Linked DNA regions of Oryctolagus cuniculus. The protein of the gene in region 1 binds, or shares a complex with, the protein of each later gene. Links are inferred from orthologs where the notes say so. Each region holds a gene or a part of one and is shown in the gene's direction. Other genes may lie near its edges.

Region 1 (3,804 bases):
AAGCAACTGCTCACCTCTGCGGGAGCAGGGTGCTCTGGAAGCGATCTCAGGAGGAAGGAGAGAGACACAGTGTGGTCTGAGAGAGGGTTGGGTTTCACCCAGAAAGTCGACTGGTGGAAAACAGGACAAAGCACATGGATGTCAGACCCACCCAGAAAGTCCAGTGCTTGGATAGCAGTCGTCCTGCGGAGAAAGAAGACCTGTGGAGAGGGGAGAGGCCCCTGGCGTATTTCCAGAGAATTCCCAGAGGGAGCAGCCTGAGTTTCCACGTGGAAACACCCTGCACATGGTGGACATGGACCCCATGGAGTGCTGATGTGAGCAGTGACAAAGGGGAGCCACCAGCCTCCAGGAGGTGCAGGGGCCGGAGTGGCCTTGATCTCCTCCGGCAATGTTGCAGGAAGGAGGCAAGGGAGCGGAGAGATGAGTCACAACCCAGATTTTATACCCAGCCAAACCAGCTGCTAGACGTTAGTCTAAAATAAAGGCATTTCCAGGTGTGAAGTTCTTGGAAACAGTGCTCAGCTGTCTTCCTCAGGGAACTGCTGGACAAGACTCAGGGAGCAACCGCAGAGGGGCTGTACCTGGGACAAGGCCAGAAAGTTGCAGAGGTTCAGGCTCCTGCCACACACCTGGGTCCAGACTGGAGCGGGAAAGAAGGTTCTGGAAGACTTTCTCATGTGGGTGAGACTGATGAAATACTGAATGGATCAGAGAATTGTCTGTTATAGCATTTAGGGTTGAAATGATGACAAATACCCAGAAAACGAAGCAAACGGAAACAGCACATCACCTGGGAAAACCAGAAAACACATTGGAAATGTGACTGGGCTGAATGTCTGTCTCAGGGGAGACCAGTGTCTGCAGGTGCTGGGGGCACAGCTCCAACCCCCAGAGCCACATTGGCGAGGAGCCAGGGGAGACACACAGGTGCAGGTCACATGGGCCCCAACGTCGGGTTGGGAGAGAGGCCGAGGAGAAGGCTTGGGACAACACTCAGCTTTGAAAAACGGCCATGCCCACTGAGGTGGCCTCTATGTGCAGGAGCGACTTTGGTACAAACAAGGATGTTTAAAAAAAAAAAGCAATCAGGTGGATGAGTAGTGCATTCGCCTGCCAAGCCAAAGGGCAGTGTGGGGCCTGGGTGGGTCCCTGGCCATCGCCTGCATCTCTGTCACCCAGCTGAGTGACAGCACTGGATCCTTAGTGCTCTGGGGACCATATGAGGTCAACCTGTGTGCACTGGCAGGCACAGGTGTCAGCCGTGGGCCCTGTGGCTGTGCAGGTGCAGGTGTCGGGGCACTGCAGGCACTGATAAGCTGGTGCAGGTCAGTCAGGGGCAGGGGCTCCAGGTAAGCATGCAGGACCTGGTTCTGGACGTCAGTCAGCCCTTGGGATGTCTGGACTTTGAGCTGTCCTGTGTCCTTCCTGGAAGAGTGGGGTCAGAGGTGGCTCTCGGTGCCCGTCCTGCGCCTGCCTGCCCCAGCCCCACACCTGCTGTTGTGCTGTGTGCTGTCCCCACTGCCCTGGGTGTGAGGGGTGGGGCAGAGCAGGTGCAGGCCCTCGTGTGGAGTGGGCTCCTTCACCATGGGACACTGGCCGCGTCTGGAGGCGTTTTTGATCCTTGCAGCGGGGAGCAGTGCTGGACAGGGAGAGTGCACAGGGCGGACCCCGAGTGTGCCCTGGCCCCACGTGTCAGCAGCACAGGGCTCCTGGCATCGGGGCTGCAGTGAGCGCTGGGTGAGGGCAGCTCAGCGGCTGCCCTGAGCTCACTCTGTGCGCGCAGGGTTCATGGCCCCCGAGCTGCTGCGCAGTGAGGAGTACGACTTCTCCGTGGACTACTTCGCCTTGGGGGTGACACTGTACGAGATGATTGCCGCCAGAGGACCCTTCCGGGCGCGAGGAGAGAAGGTAGGGGACTGCGGTGTGGCTGTGGGTGGCCGCCCCGGCACTGCTGCTTCCAGGCCTGGGGGTGAGGGGCACATGCTGGAGGTGGTTCCTGCCTCCATGGTGACTCCCCCACGTCTGTGGGAGAGGCAGCGGGTCTGGGGTCCTGAGGTCTGCTGTGGGGTTGCCCAAGCCTCACACCCTCCTGCCCAAGGCCAGCTGTGGCAGGAGCTACACCTGCAGAGAAGGGGCTGTCTCTTGGCTTCCTGCTGTGGGTTCTGGGCAGCCTGAGGGGACTCGGTGACTCAGCTGTTGTGGCTGCAGGTGCCCAGCAGGGTCGGGACAGGAGATTCCTGGGCCAACCCACAGCCTGGCTACCGTCAGATCCATGTCCCCAGGTGGAGCCTCATGGCTCCCCAGCGGCTGCTCTGTGCGTCCTGGAGGGAGGTGGATGTCCAGTGGGCTGCACCTGCCCTGTTATGCCCGCTTTGTGCCCTTTCTGTTCTGTCCACCTGGGTCTCCATGTTGCCCCAGCCCTGGCCCGGGGAGCCCAGAACCACAAGAGTACACTGGGGGTTGGGGGGAAACCAGTGTTACGTTCCAGGCAAACAAGGCAGCGCTGGCTTCTTCCGGAGCAGACGCTGACAACCAGCAGGGCCTTTGGAAAGGCTGAGCCGCTGGGGCCTCTGCCTGGCGGTCCTGCCCACCAGTCTCTTCCTCCCTGAGGTGGGGGTCCCAGCCCCTGAGGCCCCACCCTGCTCCCCCCACGCAGCTGTCGGAGCGAAGTGCGTTCCGATCTTCCAGGAGCTGGCACGCTCGCTGGACTCTGACAGCCGTGCTGTCCTGGACGGGCACCGAGCACAGGGAAGGGGGGGGCTCTTGGGTGGAGGGGTGTGCACAGCCTGGACTCCCCAGGTGCCGTTGCTGCTGCACACGGCACGCCCCGGTGGGGCTTGTGGCTGTGAGTGGTGCGCACTGGAGCCCACTGGACAGACGTGCGCCTCTGAGGCCGGGGCTGCGGGGTCTGACAGCCCGTGTCTGCCGCGCAGGTGGAGAACAAAGAGCTCAAGCAGCGCATCCTGTCGGAGCCCGTCTCGTACCCCGAGAAGTTCAGCGCAGCCAGCAAGGACTTCTGCGAGGCACTGCTGGAGAAGGACCCCGAGAAGCGCCTGGGCTTCAGCGACGGCTCCTGCGACCGGCTCCGCACCCAGCCCCTCTTCAAAGACATCAACTGGAGGCAGCTCGAGGCTGGTACGGTTAATGCCCAGGCCTGGGCCGGGACCCCGGGAGCTGTGGTCCTGTCACACGCCCCAGACTCCTGGGCCAGGACCCCAGGGGCGGTGGCACCACCACATGCCCCAGACCTGGGCTGGAGACTTCAAGAGCTGTGGTACTGTCACATGCCCCAGACCTGGCCCAGGACCCCGGGAGCTGTGGTACTGTCACACACCCCAGGCTTGGGCTGGGACCCTGGGAGCTGTGGTACTGTCACATACCCCAGGCTTGGGCTGGAGACTTCGAGAGCTGTGGTAGTGTCACACGCCCCAGACCTGGCCCAGGACCCCGGGAGCTGTGGTGCTGTCACATACCCCAGGCTTGGGCCGGGACCCCGAGAGCTGTGGTACTGTCACATGCCCCAGACCTGGCCCAAGACCCCGGGAGCTGTGGTACTGTCACATACCCCAGGCCTGGGCTGGGACCCCGGATCTGTGGTACTGTCACACGCCCCAGGCCTGGCCCAGGGCCCCGGGAACTGTGGTACTGTCACACACCCCAGACCTGGCCCAGGACCCTGGGAGCTGTGGTACTGTCACACGCTCCAAGCTTTGGCCAGGACCCCAGGAGCTGTGGTACTGTCACACACGCCAGACCTGGGCCAGGGACCCTTGGGAGCCACCCTGCCTGTGGTGAAGATGT
Region 2 (4,266 bases), on another chromosome or scaffold:
ATGGCTCAAGTGTTTGGGCCCCTGCACCCATGTGGGAGACCCAGAAGAAGCTCCTGGTTCTTGGCGTCAGCATGGCCCAGCCCTGGCCATTGCGGACCATTTGGGGAGCGAACCAGTGGATGGAAGACCTCTCTTTCTGTCTCTCCATCTGTCCTTCTGTGTCTTTGTCATTCAAATTAAAAAAATTTTAAATGCCCATTCATTAGAGAAATATTTATTGCAGGGGCCGGCGCTATGGCACCCCAGGCTAAAGCCCTGGCCTGAAGCGCTGGCATCCCATATGGACACCAGTTCTAGTCTCAGCTGCACAACTTCCGATCCAGCTCTCTGCAATGGCCTGGGATATCAGTAGAAGATGGCCCAAGTCCTTGGGCCCCTGCGCTCACATGGGAGACCTGGAAGAAGTCCCTGGCTCCTGGCTTCAGATCAGTACAGCTCCGGCTGTTGTGGCCATCTGGGGAGCAAACCTACGGATGGAAGACCTCTCTCTCTGTCTCTACCTCTCTCTAACTCTGTCTTTCAAATAAATAGAAAATCTTTAAACAAATATTTATTGCCGACAAAAGCCTTCCTGGCATTCTAGCAATGGAGATGCAACCCCCCCCACACTCCCTTTTATTAAGAGAGCTCCCATCTGCCAGTTCACTGCCCAAACACCCACAACAGCCAGGATTGGGTGTGGCTGAAGCCGGGAGCTGGGAACTCAATCCAGGTCTCCCATGTGGGTGGCAGAGACCCAACTATGTGAGCCATCGCCTGCTGCCTCTCGGGGTGCACATGAGCAGGAAGCTGGCGTCAGAAGCCAGAACTAGCACTTGAACCTGGGCACTCCCGTAAGGGACCTGGGCATCTCAAGCAGCGTCTTCACCTCTAGGCCGAACGCCCGCCCCTTCCACGAGGCTGGCATTCTGGTGTGGGCGCCGTCTGGGGCACGCTGCGAGCTTAGGGGCGGATGTGCTACTTACACAGAGCAGTCAGTCCAGGCCCTTCAGACAAGGTGCCATCTCAGCCAAGACTGAAGCGAAGCATTCGGAGAAGGGCATCCCAGAAGGAAACGTGCTGGCCCCAGAGCCTGTGCCCCTAACCACTGCATATGGGGCTCAACATGAGGACCCACCGCGGCCCCTAAGATCCCGGAGTCAGTGCAGAAGACAAGCAGGCCACATCATCCACGCAGAGAAATCTGGAGTCGTCTCCCACGGTTCCCACCTTCTTCCTGTCTACCCTCCAGGAAGCCAAAATGAACGGATCCCCTATTTTAATCCCAACAGTTCTTGGAGACCCTCCCCCTCCCCACGACCAGCCTGCCAGACCCTCCCCCCTGCAAAGAGTGGGATGAACTGTTCGCAAATCCCCCTAATCCTTCAGCGTCTCCGTCTCCTTCTCACACAGCGCCAAGCCCCGGCAGCCGGGAGACCACGCACAGCCCGCCCGGCGCCCACCCAGCCTCACCCATGGGGAACAGCAAGAGCGGGGCGCTGTCCAAGGAGATCCTGGAGGACCTGCAGCTGAACACCAAGTTCACGGAGGAAGAGCTGTGCACCTGGTACCAATCCTTCCTGAAGGAGTGCCCCAGCGGCCGCATCACCCGGCAGGAGTTTGAGAGCATCTACGCCAAGTTCTTCCCCGATGCCGACCCCAAGGCCTATGCCCAGCACGTGTTCCGCAGCTTTGACGCCAACAGCGATGGCACGCTGGACTTCAAGGAGTACGTGATCGCCCTGCACATGACCACGGCGGGAAAGCCCAGCCAGAAGCTGGAGTGGGCCTTCTCCCTGTACGACGTGGACGGCAACGGCGCCATCAGCAAGAACGAAGTGTTGGAGATCGTCATGGTGAGTGCAGCCCTCGCCCTGCCCGTGGCTGTAGCCAGCTGGGCTATAGCCCTGGGGGTGAAGGGAGGGGCGCAGGCCCAAGGCTAGGAGAGCAGGGTAGGGAGGGGGCTCCAGCACGCACATGTAGGGGGTGGGGCTGGGCGCTGTCCCCTGCTACATCTTCTTCCTGAATCAGAATCTGGGTAATTCTGATGTGTACCCTTTCTCTCTCTCTCTCCTTTCTCTCTCTTTCTCTCTCTCTTCCTCTCTCTCTCAGCTTTAGGCTCTGCCCGGGCACCTGCCTCCGGCTGCTTCCTATCTGTCTTTTCCTTTGTCTTGTCCTATCCTCCAAGCGTTTGTTGTGGATATTTTAAGTGTCTTGAAAAGAGTTTGTATCTGATATCTAAATCATTTGTGAAATTTAGAGACGGATGACACAGAAATCATAATGTCCTTTAACTCCAGCATACAGAGAAAACTACCCTTAGTACACTGGCATGTAACTTTCTGGCATTTTATCTCTATAGTTTTGAATAGTTTTAAAGTTATATTCACGTATGATTTTTATCACAGCTTTTCAGTTACTCCTTTATCATGAGTGTTTACATATTCTTCAAAGGATTTTTATGGGGGCCAGTTTTGTGGTGTAGCTGGTAAGGCTGATGCATCCCATATAAGCACCAGTGCGTGTCCTGGCTGCTCCACTTCTCATCTAGCTCCCTGCTAATGGCCTGGGAAAAGCAGCAGAAGGTGGCCCAAGTGTTTGGGTCCCTGATACCCATATGGGAGACCTGGATGAAGCTCCTGGCTCCTGACTTCAGCCTGGCTCAATCCTGGCCATTTTGGCCATCTGGGGAGTAAACCAGCAGATGGAAGACCTCTGTCTCTGTCTCTCCCTCCTTCTCTGTAACTCTTTCAAAATAAATAAATAAATAAATAAATTTTATTATTATTATTTGACAGATAGAGTTAGATAGTGTGTGTGAGAGAGACAGAGAGAAAGATCTTCCTTCTGTTCGTTCACCCCCTAAATGGCTGCTACGGCTGGTGCGCTGCGCTGATCCAAAGTCAGGAGCCAGATGCTTCTTCCAGGTCTCCCACGTGGGTGCAGGGGCCCAAGGACTTGGGCCATCCTCCGCTGCCTTCCCAGGCCACAGCAGAGAGCTGGACTGGAAGAGGAGCAACTGGGACTAGAACCCAGCGCCCATATGGAATGCTGACGCCACAGGCGGAGAATAAATCTCTTTTTTTTTAAAGGACAGATCTTTATTTATTTACTTATTTACTCAAGAGAGATGAAGGGAGAGATGCAGAGAGAGAGAGAGCGCTTTTATCTGCTGATTCACTCCTCAAATACCCAAAACAACTGGAGCTTGGCTGAGCTGGCAGCTGGGAACTCAGTCCACATCTCCAACATGAGCGGTAGGGCCCCAGCTACTGCTGCCTCCCAGGGTGTGCATTAGCAGGAAGCTGGAATTGGGAGCAGAGCTGGGACTCGAACCCAGGCACTCCAATATAGGGCGCAGGTGTCCCAATCAGCTCCTTAACCAAATACCCACCCCCAGAAAGCATTCTCAGTAGCTGCCTAGAATTCCATCTGATGGAAATGCCTCAAGGTTAAACACGCCTATATTTTTGGACATCAGGATGCTTTGATTTTTTTCCCCTGTTCTATCAGTAATAGTTCCATCTTCTAAAAGTATATCTTCCCTGATTCTTTTTAATCCTCCTGCCCCTGGCACTTGCTTTATTTTCCCAATTCCATTCCTGTTAGAAAGAGGGATGTGTTTCATATTTTAGGAATTTTTTGCGTGTGCATTTGTAATCACACTGTCATCTGTAGACATCTCTCACCCATATTAGGAGGAACTGGAAATAAAATCAAAATCCGGCAGCCTGTGGTCTTCCTCAGTGCTGGGCTTGGGCCTCCTGCTAAGGGCAGCCCTTGTCAGCTGGGCTTAGTCTACAGAGCCAGCTGCCTTCACCTGTCAGTGGGGGTGTCTGGGTGGCTGGGGATGGGACCAAGACTTCAGAGCCGCTTAAATGATGCTGTGGAAGCCAGCAGAGGCTGAAAGTTGGGGTTCCTTAAAGAAAGGAGGAGGAAGGGGAGTTGAGGGGAAGGAGGGAATAAAAGGAAGGGAGGGAGGGAGGGAGAGGGAGAGAAGGTGTCAGCGGCTGAAGCTGTGCCAGGTGCACCAGACCACAAGGTCATGGGCGGAGCACTGGCCTGGGAGCCAGAAGTAATGGGTTCTAGTGCCGGCTTGGACACCAAGCTCCTGTGTCACCAGCAGGAAGCCTTGTAGCCCCCCTGGGGCTGGAGCGAGGACTTGATGAATTCTGTGGACTCTCCCAAGGCCCTGAAGCTCTGTCCCCTGTGTGTTGGGAGTTAGAGGGGGCAGGCAGTGGATCACCCTCTGCACTCACCCGTCCCATCTGCTCCGGCTGCCCAGGG

Evidence for each region.
Region 2: the proteins of GRK1 (region 1) and RCVRN are in contact, whole or in part, in an NMR structure (PDB 2I94), measured with the Bos taurus proteins. The link is inferred for Oryctolagus cuniculus from reciprocal best matches to the Homo sapiens genes GRK1 and RCVRN. Residues at the interface, in NP_776598.1 of Bos taurus: Phe3, Gly4, Leu6, Glu7, Val9, Val10, Ala11, Asn12, Ser13, Ala14, Phe15, Ile16; in NP_776590.1 of Bos taurus: Lys22, Trp31, Ser34, Phe35, Glu38, Cys39, Phe49, Ile52, Tyr53, Lys55, Phe56, Phe57, Tyr86, Leu90, Thr93, Ser94, Phe188, Glu189.

The regions. Positions count from the first base shown.
Region 1 is NC_091440.1:431,776-435,579, reverse strand, and holds part of GRK1 (rhodopsin kinase GRK1), read left to right. Parts: intron 1-1,786; coding exon 1,787-1,911; intron 1,912-2,936; coding exon 2,937-3,138; intron 3,139-3,804. UniProt on the Homo sapiens protein: Retina-specific kinase involved in the signal turnoff via phosphorylation of rhodopsin (RHO), the G protein- coupled receptor that initiates the phototransduction cascade.
Region 2 is NC_091448.1:54,160,082-54,164,347, reverse strand, and holds the start of RCVRN (recoverin), read left to right. Parts: upstream 1-1,362; 5' UTR 1,363-1,454; coding exon 1,455-1,835; intron 1,836-4,266. UniProt on the Homo sapiens protein: Acts as a calcium sensor and regulates phototransduction of cone and rod photoreceptor cells. Modulates light sensitivity of cone photoreceptor in dark and dim conditions.